Linked DNA regions of Xenopus tropicalis. The protein of the gene in region 1 purifies or fractionates together with the protein of each later gene. This does not show direct contact. Links are inferred from orthologs where the notes say so. Each region holds a gene or a part of one and is shown in the gene's direction. Other genes may lie near its edges. The genes, in order: med12, vdr, cdk19 and med9.

Region 1 (4,188 bases):
GATATAAAAAAAAAAGATTTTAGCAAGAAAGCCTTATGCTGCTGACTAGAATAACTAGAATACAGCAGACCTGGGTAAGATGGGGGACCATGACAATCGCTGGGTCTGCTGTACAGAGTCATCAACCAGCACTATTTCATGAGGGCAATAATGATACAATCCTGGGCTTTTTCACACTCTATTTCATGTTATCATTTAGTGTGAATAGGAATTCAGACCTAAAAAGGACTGAATCATTGTCTCATTCATGACATGGGGCTGGTTGATGTCTCTGGTACAATTCCAGGTCCCCCACATTTGTCTGCCAATGGCGCCTGGCGCCACAAAAAAGTGTATTGGTTGAGGAGGTAATAACAGGGGAGGAACTACCAGCAGGGGGTGCTGGACGCTTGTGCCGATTCAAATCAACCATAAAAACTTCACCCAGGTCCCTTTGCTTAAAGTTCCCTTATTGGATAGTAGCAGTCCCGCCATATGGCTGAGGGCGCAAGCCCCTCCCACCACCCCACTGGGGAGGGCATTACACCACTGATTTAAAGGGAAACACCTAATGTGGTGCAGTGATTTTAGCACAGCCATAAACACTTCATAACTGTACCTATATAAAGGGAAATATGTTGGAAGGAAACCACTAAATGTAGGGCTTCAACAACACATTTCCCATAGGTATACCTATATCATACCTCCCAATATTGAAAATTGTGATCATTTGGCCATGACCTGATCTGCTCCATTCATGTCCAGTTTTATCCAAAAATGTCCCTGATCAAAACCTTGCCCACTCTCTTCTGAGTTGTTTGAAATATTCCTGGGGAGCTGAAGTGATCTGAGCCTTGCCTTGCACAGTTTATTTCCCATAAGCTTTCAATACAAGTTGGTGGGCTGCACTGCAATCAGAAAATCACCTCAATATAAAGTATTCCTGAGTTCCATATTGTACCAGTGATGTGCTATGCTTTGGAGTTGTGCACCCAAATTAAAATGAACCCTCATGATTGAAAAGGCCTATAACAGGGTGCCCTAAGCATGATAGGGGTAGGGCTACCACCCAGCCAGTATTTAACCAGCCCAGCCTGTAAGTCACCAGCTAGGCCAGGCCAGATTTACTGGCAATATAATTGTAGGCCAATTTTCAATACCCTATGAATCCCTCCTTCCCCTCTCCACTGACAGATTACTCCTTATAAAGCCAGACCTGCCTAGAATCCGCCCATGTGACACCCCCACCTGCACCCCTGGCTGAAGGCCGGTAAAATAGTAAAAGAAAAAAAAAAACAGCGTCCCTATGGATGGGGGGTGTATCAAGGTGTGGCCAGGAGTGTTGTCAAGGAGCACACACAAAAAGGCACTGGACTGGCAATGTTATCTCTAGGCATGCCTGAAATGGGCATGTTTCTTTTTTTCTGACGTTTCTTAGATACAAAATAGAGTTCAAGTCAGCCTGAAGCGTACAGGTTAGTAAATAAAACACAATAGAATGCTACGAATGCGACCCCTTGTGGTAAAACTGGGTACGGGCAACAGAGTTTCCCTTTAAAAAGCGCTTGTCTTGACCAGGGATGGGAGGTTTTCTTCTAGTGAACATATCCAGTACCTATAATATTACATTCAGCAGCCAACCATTCAAGACATAAGACGGCCGTGACAAGCACAAACATGGCCGCCCTGGCCTCACTGCTCTCAGTATCACGTGACCAGGCGCGCCCGCAGCGCTCTGTGTTTGTGCCCAGACCTGTTGGTTCCATCCGACGTCATGTCGTGCGCGCCGCCGAGCAAGGAAGGAAGATGGCGGCCTTCGGGATCCTGAGCTACGAGCACCGGCCGCTGAAAAGACCCCGTCTTGGACCCCCAGACGTGTACCCTCAAGACGCCAAACAGAAGGAGGTGAGACCCGAGGGGCTGTCAGGGCTCCAGAATGGAAGAGAAGGCTGCTTAAACCGATCTGGCACTAGGGGATTGTGGGAAAGGGGCCATTTAAAGGCAACACACACAAATAAGGATAATCTGCAAACCTATAAATCGGGGGATTTTACCAACAGTTGAAAGATTTAGCAGCCATTGTGCTTTATTAGCTTTGTACAAACAGCTGCAGCTGAAATAATGGCAGCAAAAAATATGATAGTTTGCTACAGGTTACTGCTTAGGTGCAATTAATTTGCCCTGTGCAGCTAAATGAACCAGTCCTCCAGGGGAGGATTGATACACATGAAAAAGAAAAAAAAAAGCAGGGTAATGGGCAGAAGGATATATCTAGGCTATTTAAAGTTTGGCACAGAAGGCAAAAAGGTAGTTTTAACAAAATTAACATTACAATCAACTTATAGGGCACCAACATATTCCCCACTTCTGTGAATATAACAATTTATATACAGACATAACAATAGTATTGGGATAATGAGAACACTGTTTACAAAGGCTTGTAATCTGAAGGCTGGGGCAAACAAAGTAGAAGGTTGACTGGTAAATTAGCAAGGTATATTGGCAAGGTTATTGCTTAAAGAGGCTGTAGAGGTTGAATATGCAAAGGCTAAATGCAAGGCTATCTAGGAGAGAATGGGTACTAGTAAATATAGCTTTTGCTGGTGCTGATGATATGAGTTCCAGGCCAGAGCTTACAAGGGAACAGGTATGGTGCCCGATAGTGATTTCTGGCTAAAAAAATAATGGCTGGAGAGAAGCAAAGCACAGAAAGTGATTTCACTGGTGGGTGAGATTTACAGAAATATAAGATAGATGGGGCAATACACCTCTATTTGTAAATACATCACTAATCAATACAATAATAGAATATGATTAAATACAATTGCATTTAAGATTAAGTGACCACTTGAAGTTGGTCTTGTCTCTGTACAGCTGACCTTCTAAATGGGTGTGTAACTTACAGACACGAACAGGGCAGTAAGTGCAATTAACAGTGGTTGAGGCATTGCTACATAAGTGCCAGACTGAGTCAGATGTTATGCTTCAGAAAGAGTCTTTAAGTTTAGTTTTAACGGGGTTGAAGGAGGATTCTCTCCAAAGGAATTCAGAGATGGAATCCAAATGTATAATGTGGGAGGTGTGGCCAGGCAGTGGCTATGAGAGGAAAGATGAAGTTAGCAGGAGAATGGACTTATGCCTACCTGTGAGCCAAAATAGTCACAACAAACAGGTGAAGGTGTCATAGAACCTATGCCCCTTTTAGAGGAGAGGTCAGATTTTGGGAGGCCAGTTAGTATTAAGTTGTGGTATTCTACTTGGCTAAAATTCCAGTTGACTGTCTTAGCTATTGATTAAACAAGAGAAGGCAATGTTGCTTAGGTAAAAGTGCCAGTTGTTAATGATAATGTTAACATGACCAGAGTCAAAGATTACACCCAGGTGGCATGTTGAATTACAAGGGATAATGATCACGCCATTAGTAGCAATAATAAAACGGGAAGAAGGACCAGGTTTAGGTAGAAAGTTGATATGTTCAGTTTTTGTTAAAGGAACAGTAAATGAAAGTGTATAAAAGTAACTAAAATTTAATGTTCTGCTGCCCTGCACTGGTAAAAGTTGTGTGTTTACTTCAGAAAGTCTACTATAACTTAAATAAATAAGCTGCTGTGTAGTATGGGGGCAGCCATTCAAAGGAGAAAAGGCACAGGCACATAGCAGATAACAGATAAAACACTATTGTATTCTACAGAACTTGTCTGTTATCTGCTATGTAACCTGTGCCTTTTCTCCTTTTTTCCAGCTTGAATGGCTGCCCCCGTGGCTACACAGCAGCTTATTATATAAATTATAGTAGTGTTACTGTAGCAAACACACCAGTTTTACCAGTGCAGGGCAACAGTGCATTATATTTTTATTACTTTAAAGCTCTTTTATTTTTTGGTGTTACTGTTCCTTTAAGCTTCATTGAAATGGGGGTTAGTTTAGGAGGCAATGGTTAGATGGCAGTTTGAGATCTAATGCTTAAGTTCAGTTGTTAGTACAGGTAAGGGGTTTGATAAATATATTTGGGTATACTCACAATAGGATTTTGTTAGCATAAAAGACACAGAAGGATATGGTGGAAGAGTGAGAAGAACCCCCAGGATGCAGCTGGATTATGGATAACCAGGGAATAAAGAATTTGAGAAGGGAGTGGTAGACACATATTCAGATGATAGGTTCAGGAGGGTTAGAATATGGATAGGACTTTTAAAGAATCAAAGCTTT
Region 2 (4,257 bases), on another chromosome or scaffold:
TAGATGATAGATAGACACGATAAGTTCTAAAAGGAAATGGCAGAGTTACTGCTAAGGCAATACAAGCAAGCAGTTTATATTTATGGAACTCCTAAAAACAGCAGGCCCCAAAAGAAAAGGTATATTGATTATGAAAAAGTTAAGAGTTATTTCAAGCAATTATGTAACCCACCTGAGAGCTAGGACTCTTACTGGCTGAGAATCAATACAAGCATATGTAAAGCTAATCAGGAATGACAGCTCAACTTAAAGGGAGATCCCAAGGCACTCACTTGTGTAGGGCAACTATATAAATATAATTAATAGTAGTCTTATTCATATAATGTGATGCTACTGAGACATGCCAATATATTTGGCAATTATTATTTGTTATTTATACATTACACTTTTAGGCCTGTTTGTTTAGTAACTTGCATGAAATGTTTATCTCTCACATATAATATAAAAATTTCCCCAGCATACTGAGCAATTTCCCATCAATGCAGTCATAGTGTGATTTGAATCTCCAGCAATGCCTTCTAAATCAAAAAGTGAAGCTTTCCTTACAGCACAGGGTGCACTATAATCTAAATATATAGGGCAGGCTGCTAATTGTGCATCTTGGGGGGGACTAAAGGACACAAACTGGGATGATCTACATATTCAACGTAATGTTATATTGTAATTTATTGTATGTCTGGTATGCAGAAATACTACATAGTAATAGTAAAATAAAGTAATCTTAAGGTGCGGCACGTATGTACATAATATGTAGAAGTACCACATATGTAGCAGAGGGGACATTTGTCTTGTGCCCCATCTGCTTTTATCCAATGGGCTATGTACGTGCAATATCCTGTGTGGATTAGGGTTTGGCTTGGTATTGGAACAAGAAGTTTTGGAGGGATTCTGAGAGTAGAGTGGGGTCCTTGTAATTTAGAAAGCCTGTGTTTTCCATGGGGTGGGGGTTGGGAAAATAACATACACAGTGAAGCCTCAATACCCTTAGTTTAAGTTTTCCAGCATTTAAAACTGTTTTCTTGTAGTTTCACTAATATATAATACATAAAACATTTCCAGGATTTTACACAATTTTTTTATGGTCCCTTGAAAAATGTAAAATAGCATGAGGAACGACCACCCCGAAACCCTCAGGCTAAACTACAACTCTCACAGTCCCGATGATAGAAAATATGTACAAGTTGTTGCGCAATATGACGTGCCTTCTGAAGGTGTAAACAACTGCCTGTCTGTCTGACGCTTCTCTACATAAAGCAGAGACAGCTGGCAGTGAGGGGAAACTACAGACAGCCTACGAGTCTCAAGGACTGGGCAAATGTTAACTATTTCCTTCCTGCAGCCCCTGTGTAGCTGTCACTAAAGAGTTAATGTGAGCAGCAGCTGCGGTTCCACAGTCCCGCCCAAAGGTCAGAGTGACGGTGCAGCCCATGAATGGGGCAGTGAGACAGGAAGGACGTACCTTGCTCGTCAGCCGCCCTTTTCCCCTCCTACTGCTGGGGCATTCCCACCTCCAGGAGGGACTTGTCACGTCCCTTTTTCAGTGTGTTTCCCCCCTCCTCAGGTTCTGCTGACTGGAAGCCGCTGTGAAACCAAATAGGCAAGAAGAGTTGGGGCTGCTGTGCCAATTGTCCGTGCCAGGTTGCTGATCCAGGGGTTACAGTTACAAGGTAACAGCGCGGCCGGGAACATGAGGGTGACAGCTCCTGTCAGGCACTGAGCGCTCATTGGGCAGTGCGGGGGGGACTAAGGGGATTAGTACATTCCACTTCATGTCAAACTCTGTTACATTGTAACCGCCGTATTCCACTGTGTGTACTGTACTCGGAACGTGTTGGACTATGAGAGACAGGGGTAAATGACAGCATAGGTGTCACACAAGCCCTATAGCAGCGGGGCTATTAGTAAAAGGAGATGGCATTTGACCTTAGCCCCCTGTATTTGTGTATTTGTGTAAAAGGTGTTAGCTGTGTTTACTATACACATCAGAGATGTCCAGGCTGTGTTCTATAGCTGTTGTTGGACTACAACTCTCAAACCTGACTGAGAGTTGTAGTGTAACAACAGCACAGAGTTGTAGGTTGAACATGACTTTTTTCCCCTCATAATCATTGGTCCCTAGTCTGGCAGATTTCCTTTATATTGGTTATACCCAACTTGGAGTGCTCCCGCTGTTTTTGAACTGCAACTCATTGAACCAGAAATTAGACCTTTTTTTGCTATTACATTATCTATCAGATCCCCAAAGTTGCTCTATGAGGGGGCTGCTCGTAGTCTGTTAACATTAGAAACTATAACTGACAACTTTAGAAGGGACAGTCAGGTTGGCAAAACAATGAAAAAAGGAAAAAGCAAACAAAACGATTTGCTGGTGTAAAAAGATACCTCCAACCTGTTTGTTGCGGAGTGCATATACAGACCAAACGATTCAAGAGCTTCGTTGGCAAAACAGGCAGATTTTGGAACTTCAAGAAACAGTTAAAAAATCAGTCCTATCAGCAAAAATGATCAATATGACTTATAGGGAACTTTTAATGTACATTTTTATTTTGAACAGTCGTTTTTAGTGTCAGTACCACTTTAAGGGGGCGTGTAATTCCAGTTCATTAACAGTAAATAGAGGTTTAAGATGCTGAGTGTATAGACACACCACACATATTTTTCTTTCCAGATCTTAAACAGCCACAGATGACAGTAATACTGTTAAAGGAGCAATCTCTAGCCCAGGGCTCATTAGCCATGTCTGGACTAGAACTGAAAGGATCATAATAGGAGTTGTGGTGAAGGAATGACAACGTTGTGGTGGAGGAATGACAACATCTCGGCTATAACCATTTACCATTTCAGAATTTCAAAGCTACCACCAACCTACCACCCCAACCAGGGGAGTTTGTACTATTCAGACATGCATTAGATTTTAAGACTGCAGTTTTCTATAATGATATCCAGCCAGCTGCTGTTAAAGGAGAACTAAAGCTTAACTAAAGAAGTAGGTTAGTAGATATTTTGGGCTTCTGTACCACCCCAAGGCAACCCCAGGCCTTTAGCAGTGAAGATCTGTGCCCTCAAAGATGCCCCCAGTAGCCCCCCATCTTCTTTTCTACTGATTCCCTGCACATGCTCTGTGCTACTGTCACTTACTGAGCTTAGGGGCCCACTCACATTATACTGTAGATATAAACTATAAATGTCACAATATACTGTATATATAGACTATAAATGTCACTATATAAGGCTAATTAGTAAATAATACAGATTATTAGTGTATGGCAGCTCTGAAACAAGTGCAGTTATCATCAGAAATTAATACCCAGCCCTGTAGCATCGGCCTTTATGACAAACAAACCTCATTTTCCACTTGATAATTTGCAACGCCCCATAAGATTAGCTTCTCAACAGCTGCCCAGAGCACACCGACACTTATAACAAAATCCAAGATGGGGAGCTTTTGTGACAACTTTGAAGGCCTGCATCAGATGCTGAACCTTTAGGCCAGCTCAATAAGTTCAGTATATAAAGTATGCCATTTCTAACCATATTCTCTTTTTAGGGGTTAGTTTTCCTTTAAACTATGAGTTCCACCACACACAGTTGTGGACTTTGGCATCTTAAATATGCTGATTTAGCCCCTTGAAACCGAGTCGGCAGATTATTTGCTTTTGTATGGGGCCCTCCAATTTCTGGACAAATATTGGGCAGATATTTATTGGGAAGGTTTAAATCCCACTGGGTGAAGGACCACATTGGCTTGATAATCTGGTCCTTGCCTGCATTTGGTGTTATTGTGATCCAGTCATTTGGCAATAGTCCAGTAATAATCACCTCAAGATTGCCATACCGGAGAAAGATCCGCTTGTTTAAAGAACTTGCTAGCGAGTGGCTCTTTTAGTGTATGGCCATTTTAAGGGATTATGGGTATTTGTCTGTTTAAGGGAGTTAATAGTATCTTGCTCTGTCTGATACAAAATGGGTAGCTGTTCTTTTTGTGCTTATTTAGTGCACATGTTCAGCCACAACTTGAGGGCTACAGGTTGTTCAACACTTATGTGTAGAGGAGCTCCTGTTTGTGTCACAGGGATCAAAGTATGACTTTTTACTTTTCTATTCCACATATGAATGATAATCTCTATTAAGTGCTGTTGAAACATGTGGGTATAAATGAAGGATACTTTGCATTAAATAAGATTTTGATCAGGCACCTTCTATGGCGCCCGATCAAAATCTTTTAACCCGCCCGATCGGCGAGTCGACCGATATCAG
Region 3 (4,082 bases), on another chromosome or scaffold:
AAGCCAGATGAGGGCCCAGCGTTGATGTGGCAGTGGCAAAAAGGGGTCCCGGGCTAGGGGGTATGGTGGGGGAAGGGACTGCAACTGGTGTAGGGGCAAGGGAATGCAGTGGGGGTGCTGACTTCCACTGTGGGGGCCTGTGTGTGGCCCGCCTAGCCTTATCACTGGCTGGGGGCTTTTGTCTTTGAGAAGCATTGGTGGCAGTGGCTGTGACCGCCATAGGTGCCTGGGCCGCAGTCCTGACCTCTGCACGCTGCCTCCTCGAGACTACAGTCGGGGGTTGGGAGGCAGCGGCAGAGGACGTGCGCCTGGATGCGCGTGGGGGACTGGGGCTCAGGCGAGAGGGAGGGCGGGAGCGGCGAGCCGGCCGCTTCCCAGCACTGCCGGCTGCCTGTCCCCCCTGTCTCTGTTCAGTGCTGATGGGGCCAAGTAGCTGTTGTAGCCAGTCGGCTCCATCAGAAGCAATTTTTGCCTGCACCTGCTCCAGTAGTTCCTCGCTCATGCTGGGGTCTGGTGGGGGCTGATGGACACAGGCAGCAGCAGCAGTTGGAGCAGCTAGGATGCCGCTTGGTGGAATCCAGAAGCAGAGTGGCAGCAGCAGCACGGGAATGCAGGCACAGAGGAGGGAGGAGGAGCGAGCAAGGGGGGGCTGCCCTTTCCTGACTGCACTAGCTGGTGAGTTAACCCCTTACAAGCACGGAGGGAACTGGGCCACAGCTGGCTCCACAGTCCCTCCGCGCTTTCATTATTTATTTCAGTGCTCTCTATTCTAGTTGGCAAAGTTTGCAGTGTCATCTATTAGTACTGGCCAGCATTAGGCATGGTTGAATTCCCTGCTACCTGAACAAGGCATTTTTTGCCATGTATTTTAGTTCTATGGATAATGTCTGACTAGTACACTGAAAAAAACACTATTTCAAAGATAAATGTGTTTATAATTGATTGTGTGATTTGGCGCGCATTTATTAACATGAAGGCACTGCATCGCCAGCAATGAAGTAATGAATGAAGTGATAGGCTTTCCCCCTGCCAGTTGTTTGTGCCCAGGAACCCTCCGCTCAGAGTACAGGCCCGGTAAGAAGTGACGCCTCTCAGGCGGGCAGCTTCCACAATTTGGCAGCACCACGGCAGAGCGGGCAGCTGCTGGAAGTGAAATTGAAAGTAAAGATAGAGGGCGCTCTTCCCGCTAAAGTACATGGCATGCGTCTATGTGCAAAGAAGAAGAAAAACAAGGAAATGGTGGAGGGAGAGCCTGGCACTTATTCCATGTAACGACCGGCAGTAGCCAACGGACAGCAAAGGGTTGGGGCGATAGCTGAGCCTTGATGGGTTAAATACGCCCTCGCTCCAGCCGTGGAGGAGGATGGATTACGAATTTAAGAGCAAGCTGTCCGCCGAGCGGGAGAAAGTGGAGGAGCTGTTTGAATATGAAGGTTGCAAAGTGGGTCGAGGCACCTACGGGCATGTTTACAAAGCTAAGAGGAAAGATGGGTAAGAGGCACTAAAGGGAGGGGCGTGTGGGAGGGAGGTGTGTGTTAGGTCACTGTTCATACCTGTGTGCGGACCACCTAGAGCATCGCGCAGTCCTGTGCTTGAGCAGCAAACGCACCTCTCTAGGTGCACACATACCTGCGTGGGTTCCGTACAGTAGAATGCATGTGCTTGCTGCTATTGTGTCTATGAGGTAATTATTGTGTTCACTCATGTCTGTCACAGCCTTGTGTTTGTTATACCAGCAGCACTGCATATACACGTAACCCCCGGACAACGAGGAAAGCCGGAGATGCTGCATTTCTTGTCATGTTAGGAAGTTATTGATGGGGATATTGTGCTAGTTATGTGCTGTTACTGTGTATTTGTAGCTCCCTCCTCCTCCTCTGCACACGCCCGGGATGCTGAACTTGTGCTGGGGGAGGAGGGGGAGGGAGTCTGAGCTACAAATGTTTATGTTGGGGTAATCCAGCCTTGTGGTCCCACCTACTCCGCTGTTCCTCCTCTTCAGTGTTTGCCATAGCACCATGTGTCAATATTTTCTCCCTCGTCTTGCAGATTACCCATTTCTATGGCATTTTCCCTCTCTTTAAAGAGCCAGTCCTGATCAGTAAGGATGCCAGCCCTTTACTGAGGAGACAGTTACCCGCTGGGATTCGTGAAGGGCAGCGGTAGGGCCACAAGTTGAACATCACTGGAGGCTGAGCTGTGTGTATGAAAAGGGCAATTACACATGATATGAAGTGACTGCTTATACTTCAGGCTTAACTAAGGAATAAATAAATGCGTTGTTCTCTAAACTCAGCATAGTAAGACTTTTAATAAAGTTGAAATGATGCTTTGCTTGATTTCATTCAGGTTAAAACATTTGTGATGGCACCTATGTGATTTTTCTGGGATATTTGCTAAATAAACACACGTTCTTTAAAACATTGGCATGTTTGTGTATGTGCAAGATTTTATAATCGCCTCCATGTTTGATGTTTTAGTTGCAGTCTTATACTAATGGCTGTAAGAACTTTGAATTATTTATCAGACAGACATTATTTAGCCCATCTAGCATGAAGTTTTTTTTTAATTCTCAGGACTAAGAATCAATAAAAAAAGCTTTTAAAAAGATGCAATCCTTTGTCAACCCTTTTTTTTTTTAACTCTTGGTTCTGGCCCTTTAGTTATCCTCCAGGGAAGGTGCTAATTCTCACAGTGCTTTGCTCACTTCTTCATAGGTAGAACTACTGGTTTAATGGTGGGTTGCTGGACTGGCAATTTGTACATTCTGCTTAACACCAGAGGGACTGTAAGATGCCCATAGACAGTCACTATTGGGCCTGTGGGTGGCTGTTTGGGCGTCTTAAGTACTTGAAATGCCAGGGTCTGTTTTGTCTTGCAGCCCATACCTGGGCCAGGTTTAGGCTAAATAATACAGATTGGGGACTTATAAGGTATTATATTAGGTTAAAAAAATCCATTAGTTCTGTAGCAGTGACATCACATTACATTGCAAATAGTGCATTGTCTGTTTCTTTTTCTACTGTTTTTTTTCCACAAGAAAAAAATATTCCCCTTTCTGTACCTGTGCACCCTCCATATTATTTCTGTGTTTTTGCTGGAACATTTTGTACAATTCCATGTCCCATTGTTTAACTCACATCCTGCATTAGATTTCCAGCCCATGCATAAATGTCACTCTTTGTATAATGAGTAAGCTTAAATGTTTTCCTGTAACTATTCATTTTTAATTATTATTAATTATTTTATTCTCTGCCCCCTTAGCTAAAGGTAAATGTTCAAAGATTATAACTAGTCAAACTCTTCTGTCTTTACTTTTCTCATTCCCACTGGTGATGGTTTGGAGGCGAGGATCATCTCTCAGGGGCAACTTGGGGCAATTTGATACTCAATGTAAGCTTGTAGTTCCTTGCCTCTTGTACATGCCTTAACATCTAATAGCCCATTTGCTGAGATGCTCACTGAGACAACTTGTGACCATCATAAATAACCCTGCTTATTTTTAAATCTAAGTAATGTAATATTTAGATATTCTTGAAGAATTCCCCAAGTACAGAAATACTTAGTAATAAATTATCTGTTCCACTGTCCTGTCCTTTGTTTACCTCCCATGAATCCTTGTCAATTCTTTGTTTAGTAGTAGTTGGGCAGGTTTGTGGTACATTACCATTAGGGCCATGACAGACGGGGAGATAAGTTGCTGCACGACAAATCTCCCTTGTCGCGGGCGACTAATCTCCCCGATATGCCATCCCACCAGTTAGGGTGACTAATCTTCCGGTCTGTCATGACCTTTAATTACATAAAAAATGGCCCTCGAGCCAATAAAATCTCTTAAAAAACTGGGACCCATGTAACTTTTGGTTACTCTGCTATGTTTGTGTAAACTGTCTGCTGGCTCTTACCTTTGCTAGTATATTTAAATTGTCACGTTGGTGACTAATACATCATTTTCTAATCTTGTAATCTTATCTGTAGCACTTCCTTTCATTGGAGGATGTTTTGAAATATTTTATTTGCTTGTAGAACTGTTCACTTCCTTCTTTGCACAACTTCACATTGGTGGTGATTCACAATTTACA
Region 4 (3,298 bases), on another chromosome or scaffold:
GTGAGAAATGAAATGGGAAGGAGTCGCCATTGTGGGGCGATAGGGACATGCAGCCTTCAGCCACTGAGGAATTCTATCTCCCATATCCACTGCCGATGCTGGGAGTTATAGTGCTGTAACGGCCTGCGGGGTCCTGTTGGGATAGAACAGATCCGCTTTACTTGCAAGCAGGCACGTAGCCTATAAATACAATATCCAGCTGTTTGCCTGGATGCCGTGTCCTCATCATTGCTCCCATCTCTGCATCCGCCTCTGAATCAGCCCCCGATAATTCCTAGCTCAAGTGCACTCACAGCCGCACAAGTATCTGCTATCGATCAGCGCTCTGCGTATGTCACTTCTGATTCCGAAGAACTGCAGTAACAACACATTGTGCAACAGGGACACTCATTACATACAGGAACCCTTTTCACTGCACTTTCTTGTTAAAGGGGAACTAAATCCTAAGGAAAGAGCAAGTTAGAAATGCTGCAGGTTAGTCTTTAGGCTTATCTGCCAGGAAGGTCTGTGTCCCTAAAGATACCCCGAGTAGCTCCTGTCTCTCCCCCCCCCCCCCCCCCAGCTATAATACTGCAAAAATGGAATTGCTCTCCAGTTGCCCTGTCTTCACTATGCAGTCAGAGCCAATCAGAAGAGAGCTTACATTGGTCCCACTGCACAGAGAAGGCAGGGTGACTTCTGGATATTGTATGTGTGTAAGCACTGGGGAGATTGGGTTGCCTTTAGTATATAGATTTGCTCTGTATATGATAAGCACCCACACATACACACATATAGATATATATAGATATATACGCACTCTCATCCCTGATGAATCTATGCAGATAAATGCAGTAAATGGAAGCCTAATTGCTGTCGGAAGTGACAGTACAGACAAGGTAGCTCGTTCCTCGTGTTAGCATCTAATTAAGCCTGCCTTTCCTACAGAGCCACTAAAGTGAGGTTAATTGGAGCTGGCAGCAGCCTTACATACAATGGGGTGGGTAATGCTATAAAGAAATGTGTAGGCAGATTTACCCTTGTAATGGCAATGACGCACTAGCTATGGGTGCTGCCCTTGCCTGGGTGTTTGGGGCCCTCCGACACTAAGGTGCGTGCCTGCGCCCAAATACACAACAAGCGGCACGTTGCCCGGCGGCCGGCAGCAGGTGACTGAAATGATATGTATAAGGAGCCAATGAATATAAGTCCCCTTTGCGTAGGCCTCCCAGGAATGCATATGAAAGCAATATCCTCCATCTGGCCGTGGATTTGCCTGCGAGCCCTGTGTTCAGCCCGCGGCGGATCAGAGCTCTCGAAGAAAACAACTGCAGTTACTTAGGTGCTACTTTACTCTGCTGCCCCTTAATCTCTGTTCCATCCATGTTGGTTCTGTTCCTGTAAGAGAACTGCATCGTGTTTGGCTGTTTGAGCAGCAGGTTTTGAAACAACATCCGACTCTTAAGTCCATCCATGGCGGGCGGCTCTAGGCCCAATAGGCATTAGACTTGTATAACCTATGGGCCACAGAATAGGCCCCCTGCGCTGCCTGCTGTTGGACATAGTTATTAAAGCAAGGCACATAATGGGTTCTAAAGCACATGTTGGGCTGCAAAGCTGGTTCTGCAACTTGAATTGGGAAACGGCAAAGAACCTGCTTTAGTGGGAGTTGGGCCTGAAGCCTTGGAGTTGGGAGGGTTCGGGCAGTTAATCACCCAATGGGTCACGGGTGTGTGGTGGGTCTGAAAGGCAGAGGGGTCCCCCCTACTTTATTTCAGTTCCTCCACCAGATTTATAATAAAAGTGCCCTCTGGCGTGCTGGGGGTATTAATAAGCTTTAATAATAGCCTCCCTCCTATGCACCGACCCCAGGGAGCCTATATATAAACATGGCCTTGGGCACAGGTGGGTGCAGGTTGGTGAGGATCAATGAACTGTTTACTAGAAGCTGCTGCCCCCCTATTTTTTTTTAAAGGGCAAGTGCAATTACTAATGTGTTAGGCTCCTCCCAGTGAACACTACACTGGGTAAAGATAGCAGCACTCCCATAGAAAGTACCCCAGGCTGCTCCATTGTCAGGGAAGAAGAGCAGTGAGCCCAAGGTTACCAATAACAGTACCAGTATTGGTTTTATTCAGCCCCCAAATGCTTATTTTTAACCAGTCTCCTCCTCCTCCCCCCTAGCATGGACAAAGACAGCCAGGACGTGTACCAGGAGCTGAATGAGTTAAAGAGCAAGTTCCAAGCCATGCGCAAGCTGGTCGGCAACATGCCCGGCATCGACCTGAGCCCGGAGGAGCAACAGCGGCACCTCCAGAGCCTGAGGGAACAGGTACAGACCAAGAATGAACTGCTCCAGAAGTACAAGAGCCTCTGCATGTTTGAGATACCCAAGGAATAGCTGTACGGACTGTTGCACCCAGTGGGAGGTTCTGCCAAACCCAACATGGCGCCCGGAACACTGGCCAACCAGAGTGTATAAATATGGAGGGATCCATTGCAATTCCTAAACTCGATATAGGGCAGTTGCCCTTGTACATGACTTCTGGACTCAGGGCAAATTCCTAATGGATGTTTTTTTCTAAACTGCTATGTGGTTGCTAGGCTCAGTCCCTATAGCAACCACGCAGTGGTGTGAAAGATGAATAGGAGAAGATAAGGACATATTACCTCTATCTACAACGTACTAAATGTTTGTGTAATGGTTAAATTCCCCTTTAGTGTAATACATTCTTTTGTAATGACAATATTTTTTGTTTTTTTTTTCATTCAGGATATGAGTCTTTCCATAAAGTTTATTCCACCGAGCTATTAATTGTGCTGTAAGTTTCTCCGGAACATGAATCACGGGTCCATTGAGTTCACAAGTTCATTAAGAAAGTAACGCAGAGCAATTAGCAGGAGCTGAAATAACGAGTGGGTGTTCCACTAATAAGCAGCCGCGAGCGCTCGGGTTCCTTAAAGGTAAAGTAGTCCCGAAATACACACGGCTCCCTCGCTAAAGGGCATCGGCGCGGAAAGGCCGCCTTGTATGGAGAGGCCTAAATATATCCGCGCTGATGTAGTGCAGAGGAATCCGATTGGCTCACTATTTACCCACTTCCTGGAACCCCCTGAATAAGGACAATGTGCCAGATGGACACTTCCCCCCCACCCCGCAGTTTCATGTCTAATATTAACTTGCTATGATGGTGAAAGTTGCAATTAGTCTAATTTATATTTTGTGTTTTGCAACTTTAAGGCTTGTAATATTACCCTGCTACCTGGTTGCTAGGGTTGTAATTACCCTGGCAACCAGGCAGCAGTATGGATGTTGAAA

What was found.
Region 2: the proteins of med12 (region 1) and vdr purify together in Homo sapiens (affinity purification with mass spectrometry; 3 studies listed by BioGRID, with this or other methods). This does not show direct contact. The link is inferred for Xenopus tropicalis from reciprocal best matches to the Homo sapiens genes MED12 and VDR.
Region 3: the proteins of med12 (region 1) and cdk19 purify together in Homo sapiens (affinity purification with mass spectrometry; 10 studies listed by BioGRID and IntAct, counting the BioPlex papers as one, with this or other methods). This does not show direct contact. The link is inferred for Xenopus tropicalis from reciprocal best matches to the Homo sapiens genes MED12 and CDK19.
Region 4: the proteins of med12 (region 1) and med9 purify together in Homo sapiens (affinity purification with mass spectrometry; 6 studies listed by BioGRID and IntAct, with this or other methods). This does not show direct contact. The link is inferred for Xenopus tropicalis from reciprocal best matches to the Homo sapiens genes MED12 and MED9.

Annotation. Positions count from the first base shown.
Region 1 is NC_030684.2:44,398,449-44,402,636, forward strand, and holds the start of med12 (mediator of RNA polymerase II transcription subunit 12), read left to right. Parts: upstream 1-1,325; 5' UTR 1,326-1,656; coding exon 1,657-1,884; intron 1,885-4,188. UniProt on the Homo sapiens protein: Component of the Mediator complex, a coactivator involved in the regulated transcription of nearly all RNA polymerase II-dependent genes.
Region 2 is NC_030678.2:143,849,743-143,853,999, forward strand, and holds the start of vdr (vitamin D3 receptor), read left to right. Parts: upstream 1-1,430; 5' UTR 1,431-1,667; intron 1,668-4,257.
Region 3 is NC_030681.2:77,212,213-77,216,294, forward strand, and holds the start of cdk19 (cyclin-dependent kinase 19), read left to right. Parts: upstream 1-1,239; 5' UTR 1,240-1,363; coding exon 1,364-1,491; intron 1,492-1,503; exon of another isoform or gene 1,504-1,684; intron 1,685-2,049; exon of another isoform or gene 2,050-2,423; intron 2,424-4,082.
Region 4 is NC_030685.2:15,706,215-15,709,512, reverse strand, and holds the end of med9 (mediator of RNA polymerase II transcription subunit 9), read left to right. Parts: intron 1-2,163; coding exon 2,164-2,380; 3' UTR 2,381-2,794; downstream 2,795-3,298.